Linked DNA regions of Drosophila melanogaster. The protein of the gene in region 2 purifies or fractionates together with the protein of the main gene of each other region. This does not show direct contact. Each region holds a gene or a part of one and is shown on either strand. Other genes may lie near its edges.

Region 1 (4,897 bases), on a different chromosome or scaffold from region 2:
GCCAGCGCAACATCTTCTGGTCGGTCTCGCTGGCCGTCTTCCTGCTCAGCATGTTCGATCCGGGCATGGTGGTAAGTTGGATACCGCCTCTATTGCTCACGGGAATTGTTGTGATTTCGTCGCCCTCTCAAAAATAGAACATTCGCGAAGAGTACTTCCCCACGCGCTACTCCAAGAGCGGTGACGACCTGGACAGCATGCTCGAGTGGATCAAGCTGAACACAGAGCGAGATGCGGTCTTTGCCGGCCCCGTGGACATCATCGGCACCGTGCACTTGACCACCAAACGGCCCATAGTCAACCATGCGCACCTGGAGATGCGTCAGATAGCGTAAGTTCTCCCAATCTGAGCGAGATAGCCTATCGACTATGCCCCTGCTCTGTCCCGCTCTCATTGGCATCCATATCCTGGCCATGCACGTACTGAAACTTCCGCCTTTGTTTATCTTTTTTAAGGGAGCGCACGGAGCACGTGTACTCGGTGTACAGTCGTCAGCAGTCGTCGGATATCTACAACCAGTGCGCCCAGCTGAAGATCCAGTACTTGATCATATCGCTGGACGAGTGCACCAACGAAGTGCGGTGAGTAGACGCAGACAAAATCCTCGAGACGGGCACTTGAACGCTTAATTGAGATATTGTATTCTTATCGCATTAATATGTACTTTTGCCTGCTTTCTACAACAGCGACGATTGCGATCTGCTGGCCATTTGGGATGACAAGCAGCCGGCCTACCAAAAATACCCACAGTTCTGCCACGAGCTGCTCCACAAGAACGTGCCCAGCTTCCTGAAAGTGTTCGCCAACGACCACTACGGCATTATCAAGATGTTCTCGCAGAGCGTCCAGATCAACCTCAAGCACAACAAGATGCCCGAGATGTCCATATAGGGCTGGCCGTCCACGGAGGCGGCGCGATGATGGAATGCTGGAATCGTGTTGTGTTGTACGTAGCTGTGTGAGCTGTGTGACTAGGATTTAGCATTTTACGATGTGTGTGTATTATGATTACGTTTAGTATTGCCCCAACCTCGGATGCCCGAACACATCTCGCACCCAATCCCAAATCCCGATCCCGCGTAGTAGCTGATTTGATATGGCAGATTGGCGATTAGAAGGAGGCCCCTTCCGCTAGATAGTAAACTGGATGCATTTAGCAGCTTGACTTGTTTCCGCGCCGCTGCGTTCAAACCTTGTTTGGATCATTCCCCGCACCCGCACCTGCGCCTGCGCCCTCGCATTCGAATAAGTTAATCTAGCCGAACGGAGCGACCTTAACTCTAAATACTTTCGTTAAGTTTAAGCTAAGCTTTTTACATTTACGCATGTAGTATACATATGACGATGAGACGCGTGTGGCAACGAAAGTGGCTGCATGTGGACGATGTGCATCCGGGAGCCACGATCCCAGACCCAAAAACAAGCGGGTAAACACGCATTTGCCAGGCAATAAGTGAAATAAAATGATATATTTGAAACAATCCTATGGGCATCTGTTGTTTGTTTATATCTTTAAAATGCTTACTCCTTATTGTTCACAACTTTTGAACAGTAAAAATGTGAGTATATATTTGTTTTGAAATATATTCACATTTTTAGTTTTATACAATACAGCTTATAATATGTAAATAAATAATATCATTAATTATGATTTCCATTTATACAATTTATTTAAATTTCGAATTTCACCTTACAGGGTTTGTGTCGCAGCTATCCACCCTGAGTTTGTATCGCGGTTTCGAGTCGATTGCTTAAATATCGATATTATCGAGCACTACCATCCGCATCTGGGATTAACTTCGTTTCGCCATCCGGTCACACACATACCCGCAACAATACACGAATTTTCATTAATAAACACACAAAGTAGTTAAAATTTTGGGTTTACACCGCGGCCCATTCGCATCGCCATCATGCTTTACCTCGAAGACTATCTGGAGATGATCGAGCACCTGCCGCAGGAGCTGCGCGACCGCTTTACCGAGATGCGCGAACTAGATCTCGCCGTCCAGAGTAAGTGCAACCAGAGAATCCGAATCTCTGCTTTTCGCCGGATCACTAACCAATAACTGCTCCTTGCGGTGCACAGACAACATGGACTCGCTGGACAAGAAGGCCCACATGTTCTTCAAGCAGTGCAAGCGCGACGAACTGCAGCACGAGTCGATGGACACGGAGTTCCACAGCCTGCGCGGCGAGTACTTCAAGGTGATGGAGGACGCCGACGAGAAGGTGGCTATTGCCACTCAGATACACGAGCTGGTGGAGCGCTACTTGCGCCGCCTGGATAGCGAGCTCTTCAAGTTCAAGTGCGAGCTGGAGGCGGACAACAACGGCATCACCGAAATCCTCGAGCGCCGCTCTCTGGAGCTGGACGGCAACTCCACTGCAGCCACCGCCCTGCTGCTGAGCATGAACCAGAAGGAGAACCGCTACTACGGCGCCAGTTCGGCCAATACCATGGTGAACAGCTCGACGGGACACGCAACGGGTGCCGCCACTGGCTCCTCCGGCATTGCACTGGTCAGTGGTGCTGCCGGAACGGGCGGTGCCCTCTCCAGCATCTCCACCGCCCAGTTGGGCTCAAGTCAGCGCCACCGCAAGCTGGAGAAGCGGCGGGAAACCATATGCACGGTGCCTGTTCAGGAGAAGCGCGCCAATCTGAATCACTCACTTCCCGTGGTCGGTTCGGGCTCCACGACTGCCGCGGCAGCCTCATCTTCGTCCGCCACAACGGCCGCAGCAGCCGCCAGCCTGGCCAGCGCGACGACTGCCCAAACTCATGTCTCCAACCACATTGGCAGCATCGCCGCCACTCATCTCACCCTGCCTGTGGCCATGGGCGTGGCCGGCGGCAGTAGCAGTCTTGCCAGCAGCTCGCTTGCCACAGGAACGGGTTCGCTGGTCCGCCAACTGCCCACGAACCTTACCCACACCGTGCTAAGCACCTCGGGTGGAGCGACCGCCGCAGCGGCAGCGGGCGGCAACTCCACGTCCGTGGTCGCTGCTGGTACGGCCCACGGGCACGCCCATGTCAGTGGGCACTCGGCCGCCGGGGCCACAGTCACCTACAACCTGCAACAACTGGGCGGAGGAGCCGCCGCATCTAGTGCCATTGCGGCGGCAGCCAGCCAGGCGATCGTGGCCACACAGCAGATGCAGCAAGGCCGCCGCACGGCCAGCCTCAAGGCGAGTTACGAGGCCATACACGGAACAGCGGGCACCACCACCGACTTCTGGACCCAAGCCGGTCAGGGTGGACTGCAGCAGTCGACCGCTGGATCGGTGACAGTGGCTGCCGGCACAGCGTTGGCCACCGGCGCAGCTGGCGGTAGTAGCACCGGCTCGCATCATTCGCACCACTCACAGTCGCACCATGGCGGCCATGGGCACGGACATGGTCATGGCCATGGGCATGGTCATGGGCACGGACACCACAGCAGCAGTGGTCACGGCGGCGGGCACAGCAGCCACCACCAGGAGAAGAAGCAAAAGAAGAAGCTAACCACAGCGCTGACGTTGCCCACAGTGCAGCCGACGGCCGGCTCCTCGTCGGGCAACTCGATTGGCTCGTCGTCGTCGATTAGTCTGGAATCGGTGAACAAGCTCACCACGTCGGCGGCCCTGGCGGCGGCATCGGCCACGACAACCTACATGTCTGTGGGTGGACAGGCGCTGCTCGCCATGACCCCCGGAGGTGGAGGCGGAGGCAACTTGGCGGAGAGTTCCGCTGAGGGCGTGCCCGCCGGAATGATTGCCATGAACCTGCCCACCACCACGGTAACGCCCGGCTCCAGCCTGACCATCGGCGAGAACGGACTCGTGGTGGAGCAGACGAACGAGGGCGAATGGTCGTACGATCCCAACGAGCCGCGCTACTGCACCTGCAACCAGGTGTCCTACGGCGACATGGTGGCCTGCGACAACGACGCCTGTCCCTACGAGTGGTTCCACTACCCCTGCGTGGGCATCACCCAGCCGCCCAAGGGCAAGTGGTACTGCCCCAAGTGCACCGCCTCCATGCGGCGCCGTGGCAACCGAAAGAACTGAGGCTGACTGCGCCTGCTGGCGCCCCTCTTCCGTGGCGGGGGCGGCGGCGTAGGCACCTGGTCGCGTCGCTAGCGGCTCTTATACTTGTAAAGTGACAAATAAACAAATTCAAAGTATTCAATAAAGTTAGATCAGCAATAGAGCAGCTCTTTATATTCAGTTCGGAACGCAAAGGCGAATAGTGGATTGGGATTGCACTAATATATCTTAACTAAAGTAGTTTAAGCCAGCTTCTAGCTTAAATAACAAATTTAGGGTGTTTTCGCTACAATAATAATAAACAATAAAATATAGTTCATTCGATAGTTTGATTTCAAAATTCGCGCCCTCTTGGCAATCAAACAGCGTGACCATGCTGCGCTTGCTAAAGCACTCTGGTCACGCTGAACAGAAGAAAAGAAAATTTCCAGCGTCATTTGTGCATTGCAAGTTAGTAAACAATAAAAGCGCATAAACAGGGCTAGGAAAAGCGGGAAGACGATTAGGTAAACAGAATTCGACGCAAATCGGTTGGAAAAACGGCCTCAAGATTGGCAAGATACGCAAGAGCAAGAAAATGAGCTACAACGAGAAATCGGAGGCCATCATCAAGGAGGAGTGGCTGCAGCGCCTGGAGCAGTTTCCCTTCAAGCAGGCGGACATGAATCGCCTGATCATGAACTACTTGGTCACAGGTGAGTCCGGGTCACCAGCCCGCAGCCACAGCAAGCAGCTAATCAAGGGCTAATCCACAGAGGGCTTCAAGGAGGCCGCCGAGAAGTTCCAGCACGAGGCGGATCTGGAGCCCAGCGTGGAGCTGAGCAGCCTCGATGGGCGCATACTCATCCGCGAAGCCGTGCAGGCGGG
Region 2 (6,940 bases):
ATTTTCTGACCAATCCCTTCAAGCGCAAGGCAACCCAAGCGCCGCTTCAGACCCAAGTGACGTCGTCCTTCAACGATCCCATCGAGCTCTACTGCCTATCGCTGGTGGACACACTGCGCAGCATGCGGAGATCGGAACGGGAGCGGGTCAAGTTCGAGTTCGCCAACATTCTGAAGGACGCCAAGTACAAGGACGAAAGCTAAGGCGTCATAGTCATCATTCTATACGTACAATTCTCGATTAGTATCCTTAGTGGTAGACAACGCACTCGAACACTTCCCACACTCCCCCTTCATTTATGTATTTACATACTTGCAAACAACTTGTAACTCTACGTTTCGAGTCCTAGGCTAAGGTTCTAGGTTAATTTGAGGCGATATGTGTCCATAGTCCATATCTCTTTAGTTGTATCAACATTGAGTCGAATAAAATTATGCACAAAACAAGGTTAGCAGCAAACGAAGTTTCATTGTTCCAAAGAAAAAGTACACATTTGATTTCATTTGCAGCTCAACGCGACATTAAACAATTTATTTTGAAATAATGATAAGAGTAGTGTGTAAAATGTATAAACTGAAGCGTGCGATCTTAAATCGTATACGATGCGATCAGCTTTCACTGTACTCTCGATCGGTTAGTGCAAACTAAAAATCTTCTACCTGCTGAGCTGGGGCCCGCAAAATCCCGCGATACAAAATAAATCTAAATCTTTACTGATTCTTCGAGTCTTTCTACAACAAGAACTGGTTAGTCTATATATCATATATATAGTGCATAAGGCATATACAGATCATTCATATGATTATAGTGGTTATTAATGTGATTATCGTATGAATCAACTAAATGGTTAGACAGAGTAGGTGATGAAAATTAACGTGTCAAGATTTGCATTTAACACTAAAAACGATTTGTTCGCCAATTTAACGGCTGAGCTGCTGCTACTTAATATAAGTTACAACTCGTGACGTGGCGTATTTAAAACCGAACTTTGCGTCTGCATCTGGCGCCTGCTGGCCTCCTGGTCATTGTTGCCATCGTCCGTGTCCAAAATGTCGGACAGATCATACATGGGCTGATAGGAAATCAGTTCAGAGCCACTGGGTGCTGCTTGAATCATCAAATAGTTTAGTCTCAAGCGAAGGAATTAATACTGAATTCCGAACAAACCTTTCTTTTCACTGCTTATGCTGTCATTGGGAAACGATAGGCCATAGTTGTCCATTAGATCAGAGTCGTTAAACAGCTATAAAGTATACAAATAAATCACATTGTTAGTTAGTTCTGCAGGGGAATTTTCAGACATGAAGGCCAGATGTGGACGTTTTGTGCTGACCTTTAAAAGCAGCTCGTCCTCCGGCAACTGAAAATTGGGCGTCCTGCTAAGCGCCTAATCATGTAAATAGAACATAAGTTAAATAATCATCGAGTCGGACAAACGGACAGCTAATACAAGAAATTCTACTCAATGTTGATACTTACACCCATGAGCATGTTCTGATCAATGGCCACCCCATCGCCACGCAGCAGATCCTTCAGTGTTTCCAACTCATCTTGCATGCTTTCCAAGTGCCCGTGGAGTTCGTCACTGCAACAGTAAGAATTAGCCGCTTGATTATGGCTTATCCGACTTGAATTCGTATTCTTCTGGTCTACTAACACTGAGGCCATCCTGAGGAGTTGACTGTTGTTGGTATCGCGGTTGTTTCCGTTCTCAGCGCCACTGTATTTGGCCACAGCCATGCCCTCTTCCTCAGATGCTTGCGCCTTGGCCGCTGCCTTCGATGTCGAGGCCTGATTGGCATCCAGCAGCGTACTGTTGGTGGGCACATCGAAGTTGCTGGCAAACTTGCCGCTGCTCACTGTCGATTGCCCAAATTTTTGTTGCTGGTCCAGTTTGGCTGCCTCTTCCACGCCGTCGGGAAGCAGAGCGTCCTAAAGAGTTAAGAGAAAAGAGTTAGCAACTACCATAAGATGTTTAAAATGTATCTTACTTCAAAAATATCCGTCGGCATATCCTCACTGATGAAGTTAACACTGTACAGATCGTTCGCGGGAGTCATTAGATCCATCAGTCCGGAACTGTTCTCCGGCTCAGACTTTATAATCATTGGCTGGACCATCACATCAGGTTGCGTACTATGCTGGATGCTTGTCCGTTGCGCCTTGGGCGACGAACTATCTACGAGAATATCTCCAGCATCAAGTATAACATCTCCTGCCTGTCGTCGTAGCTTGTTGTTCTCCTTAAGCTGCTGACGCTTCTGCTGCTCCTGCTCCCGCACCATGGGCGTGGTAAGCACATTCTGCTCCTCGTAATAAGGCGGACTGTTTGGCACCTCCTGGACATGAGAATCGGGCGCCTCGGTGACTGTGTAGACATCATGTTGGGCCGGCGATTGACTCACACTTTGGGCCATGGGAGAAGCGGCTCCGCCTACTAGAATATTACCGCCAGCGGTTCCATTTCCCTGGAGCAGCAAGTCCTCCACACTCTGATTCGAATAATCGACGTTGTGCGAGCTAATGCTCATGTTAGATCGCGGACGCTCAACGGCAGGCGGAGAGACGCTCTCTTGGTCATAATGTGAGGCTGCGGTGTAGCCAGCCGGTGATGGATTCATCACCTCATCAAGAAGCTCCTCCCTAAGCTCGTGGATAACCGGTCCGCCGCCACTCTCGCTCTCGGTCTCACTGGTGGTCCGTGCACGATCAATTTCCGGCGTATTGTTGATCATCAGCTGCACGTGGCGTTTCACGCCAGACATGTTGCGCGACGGTTGCACAATGGTAATGAGGAACTGGATCAGTTTGTTGACTATTTGTTGCTGCTTAGCGTGCTTTTGGCGCAGGCTGGCTATCTCGCGCCACAGCACTTCGTTCTCCTGTTTCATGGCGGAGAAGCGCGAATCCAGATTGTCCTGACGACCCCGCATGACTTTCACATCGGTGAGAATCTTCGACATGGCCTCCGGCTTCAGGACACCTTTGTCGTCACCATTTTTGTTGTTCGATATTTTCCTTTTGATTTGGTCAAGTAGAAAAGGCGAGTTGCGCTTAAAAAATGGGTGCGAAAATTCAATCTCGTCGCGATCAAAACGTAGTCCGCCATTGTCAATAGAGGTGATCTTGTGGAATCCATCTGCAAAGCACAAATTTTTTTTAGTTTTCAGTTGATGTTTCAACGATGTTTCATTTACTTACACATATTCAATTGCCTTATGAAGCTGGCCATGTTGTTGTGCTTGTAGTTTAGTGGCAATAGTTCCTTGGCGAATTGCGCTTGATTTTGTATAACGAAACTTTGGCCATCCTGCAAAAATAAAACGAAAAACGGAAGCGATATGAGAGTTGTGCTGATATGTAGTTGCCACAAACCTATTAGCGGTTGGCCGCAAACCAAAACCGATAAGCAACGAAAATAATTAGCTAATTGTAATTATATCTATAGATGCAAAACTATAGTTACGAGCCAAAGCTGGAACTAGTGTTCTTATATAATGTATAAAATGATCGTTTTAAAAAAATTCGTATTTTATAAAATTTGTCAACTTTTTCATTTAAAATTCAAATTTTTGTGAGATTTTTATGCGTGAAACACGCTAAAAATATTGGATTTGAAAATTAGATTATGTTACGCTCATACTCACATATTAATGAGTATATGTTGTCGACAAAAAATGGTAGGCTATGCTTATCAATAAACTCTTCGTTAAGAGTGTGTGGTAACCTAAGTGAGAACCAATTACTCTTATCTTAAATGAAAAGCCAACTGAATGACCAAGGGAAATTATTCGATTGTCAGTTGGAGATGGAAAATTTTCCAGAGTTCACGCACGTACGCATGCAAATGGCAACATCGACAACAACAACAAGATGAGTGTGTGGGGAAGGCAACTTGCATACGTGCGATGCGGCATGGGCAACAACAAAACAGAGAGCGAAACGCTACAAAGAGAGCTTGAGACACCTGCATGGCCAAGTCATTGTTGTTGCCATGCTGATTAGCGGTATGTGGTGGGAGGGGAGTCCCTGGAAAGGTAAATAAACAATATGGCGGCGTAGGCTTACCTTGGTCCAGCAAATCAAGCGATTGGTATCGGCATCGTCCACCAGGCGCCACAATTTGGCCAAAAAGGCCGGCACCCCGCTTCCGATGGCCGCGGCGTCTCCGTAAGAGTGCATTCTCCTGGAAGGCAGCTGCTCCTCCTCGTCTTCTTCCTCTTCCTCCGATTCGTGCTTGAACTGCACGGCTTTAGCGGATGAACGCGACCTGGACATAAAGTGACCAGCAGCCTGGAAAGGAGTACTACTCAATGAATTCACTGCACACCAACACCAACACAAACGCTTTTTTTCCAGTTTACAGTTCACTTTTCCACGCCGCTGTATGTGTGTGTGTTTAAGTGTGTGTATGGGTGCGGGAATCAGTGTGCGTGTCCAGGTACACCATACATATGTAAAATGTACATATGGGTACAATTTTGATGTGAAAGTTGCAGCTCTGATCGAATCGAATGTTTTCGGTTGCAGCCAAGTGCGTCATTCGAGCCACCAACTTGCACAAATGGAGCTCCAGTTCTTCTTCTCCTGCTCAACCTACTTACCTTAACAATTTTGCAGCTCACAAACCTTTCGCGAAGTGAAAAACTCGCGTTTTACTTGTTTAGTTTAGTTATTACACTTCACTTTCTTGGCGTACCGCTTTTGTTTTACACAGTTCTTCGGTTTTTAAGTGCTTTTTCGCGTTTTATTCACAAGTGAAAATTTAATGAAACCTCCGTCAAGTAAAATTGCTTCTGTTCGCAGCGTGACCAATTTGGTAAAAACCTATCGAACTAAAGTTCGCTGCTATATATACCATTGCTAGCTGTCTGCTTGGTCCTCTGGTTTTTATCTAGTATTTTCTGGCGCGCAACTTCGTATTCATATAATTGACCCCAATTACTAGATGATCATTATACTAAAAACTTATCAAATTCTGTTATTTGTTTTTAAAGCTAGTATTGATATGTGTACCCATAACATTAATTGATAGGCAACTGTCGATTTTAATACGGCAGACCAAAGGATAGGGATTTTAGTATTTGGTATTTTCTATTTGATATCTTTAAGATAATTATGAGTTAAAATTAAAATTAGTTGGTTTGATTTTAGATAAGTTGTACATAAAAGCATACAAAGGGCATACTTACTAAAAAAATTAACATTCATTTTGAAATTTCTATAGGATTTACTTTGACAATCAAAAAGTTTTACCTTAATATAAATGTTAGTTTTATTTTTTTTAATTTGATTTAATAATTGTCACTCTACATTTAAAATGTAAATTATGTATGATATTAACGTTTTTGAATCTTTAGGAAATATTTAAATGTATTTTCTAGTATTTTCCAGGACGAGACCGCTGAGTCTTTGCCGGCACAGTGGGGATAATTAAGTAAATTTATGGTATATTTTATACGTTTCGATATATTTAAAAATATAAAAATGTAAAATTGTGGTGACAAATTTCCAATATTTCTTTATTTATTTTAATCAAGTTAATTTTATTACCATAACATACATAAGTTGTGGTAGATTTATATATGAAAATGTAACGAAAAGAACAATTGTTGGATGCGGTCACACTGGTGGGCATATGTTGAAAAATGGCTGACACAAATTAATTTTCAAGTGATTTGTTTTGTGCATTTTCGCTGGTGTTAAAGATGAACTTGGGACAACGACGTTCAAAGCCGATAGCCGAATCAATAAGAGCAAAATGCTAATTTAATGCACGATTCGAAACACACTTAAAGGTGGGTAAATCGGCAACCGAAACTAGAAGTGCCTGTGGTGCGTGTGGAAAAGTACGAATGAGGAAGACACAGAGAATACAAAAGGGCCCGCTCTCCAGTCCGTATGTGTAGCAAAAGTGTGCATGTATGTGTCGGCGGGCAACAACAAATTCGACGAAAAAGGCGCCAGATTAATGAGCTCGTGTTAATCAGCGGGAAACAATCGCAAAATCAATGAAAAAACGGGCCGCGAAAAGCCGGCAAATCGAACTGAAGATCCATATTTTTCACAAAAGACTGCGCACTGGAAAAATCAACGCATCTAGCACGCACACACAGCCGCAATGATGAACAACCATTTTCACTTGCAACACGATCATCCACCGCAGAACGTGGCACATCCGTTCATGCAACAGCCGAGTACCGCTGTCCCATCAGCTCCTCCGGCCACCTACGGCTACTTAGCACAGCCAGCTGGCCAGCAGCCGCAGTGGATGACGACCACCTACCAGATCCTGCCGCCCAGCGTAGGACCTGCCACGGTGGCCAAGCGATACTATGCCACCACTGGGCCGCAGACCACGCATCCCACACATCCCAGCACCATCCAGATCACGAACAGTTTCGCTCAGCAATCAACGCCACCGAAGCAACAGGCGGCAACAAGCTGCAGCCCATTCAAGGCCAACAACATACGAATCATCTCGACGGCGCCAAGTGTATACAGTCTGAATAAGCCGCCACAGGAAGCGCACTCCACATATGCTCCCGTTCAGTCGTACTACTTGCCCAGTGGCGGTGGCCAAACTGCGGGACAAATCAATCTACTGGCGGCCAGCGGAACTGGCAAGCAACTGCAGCCGCCGCCGCTGGTGCCTGTGACCAATTCCACCTCACCGCCCTCCACCGTCGTGTTAGACCGCATAAACATTTGCATCAATAACCACTATACGGAGACGCCCACTTCGCTAAGTTCATCGCTTACCACGGCCCAACAACCTTCGCCCATCATACCGGCCATCCAGCACAAGGCCATCCTGCCCCTCATCGACAGCAGCACGGCGGATAGCAGCAGCTGCAGCAGCAGTTCTGTATCCAGCAGCAGTTATAGTGGTACCGCGACCACCTCAGCAGCAGTTGTGATTGTGGATGAGCCGGATTCT

The links.
Region 1: the proteins of Hsf (region 2) and Ing3 purify together in Drosophila melanogaster (affinity purification with western blotting, with the first as the bait; one study listed by BioGRID). This does not show direct contact.

Annotation. Positions count from the first base shown.
Region 1 is NC_004354.4:18,649,981-18,654,877, reverse strand, and holds Ing3 (inhibitor of growth family, member 3), read left to right. Parts: upstream 1-1,786; 5' UTR 1,787-1,914; coding exon 1,915-2,014; intron 2,015-2,090; coding exon 2,091-4,051; 3' UTR 4,052-4,160; downstream 4,161-4,897. Other genes in the region: CG6659 (uncharacterized protein), read left to right, coding at 1-71, 138-331, 457-582, 688-892; Hou (houki), read left to right, coding at 4,608-4,725, 4,786-4,897.
Region 2 is NT_033778.4:18,129,803-18,136,742, forward strand, and holds Hsf (heat shock factor), read right to left. Parts: upstream 4,833-6,940; 5' UTR 4,605-4,832; intron 4,307-4,604; exon of another isoform or gene 4,294-4,306; 5' UTR 4,279-4,293; coding exon 4,069-4,278; intron 3,311-4,068; coding exon 3,202-3,310; intron 3,140-3,201; coding exon 1,992-3,139; intron 1,933-1,991; coding exon 1,480-1,932; intron 1,388-1,479; coding exon 1,334-1,387; intron 1,244-1,333; coding exon 1,168-1,243; intron 1,105-1,167; coding exon 953-1,104; 3' UTR 501-952; downstream 1-500. Other genes in the region: Dlip3 (dorsal interacting protein 3), read left to right, coding at 1-203; Pcl (polycomblike), read left to right, coding at 6,122-6,940. UniProt on the Drosophila melanogaster protein: DNA-binding protein that specifically binds heat shock promoter elements (HSE) and activates transcription. In higher eukaryotes, HSF is unable to bind to the HSE unless the cells are heat shocked.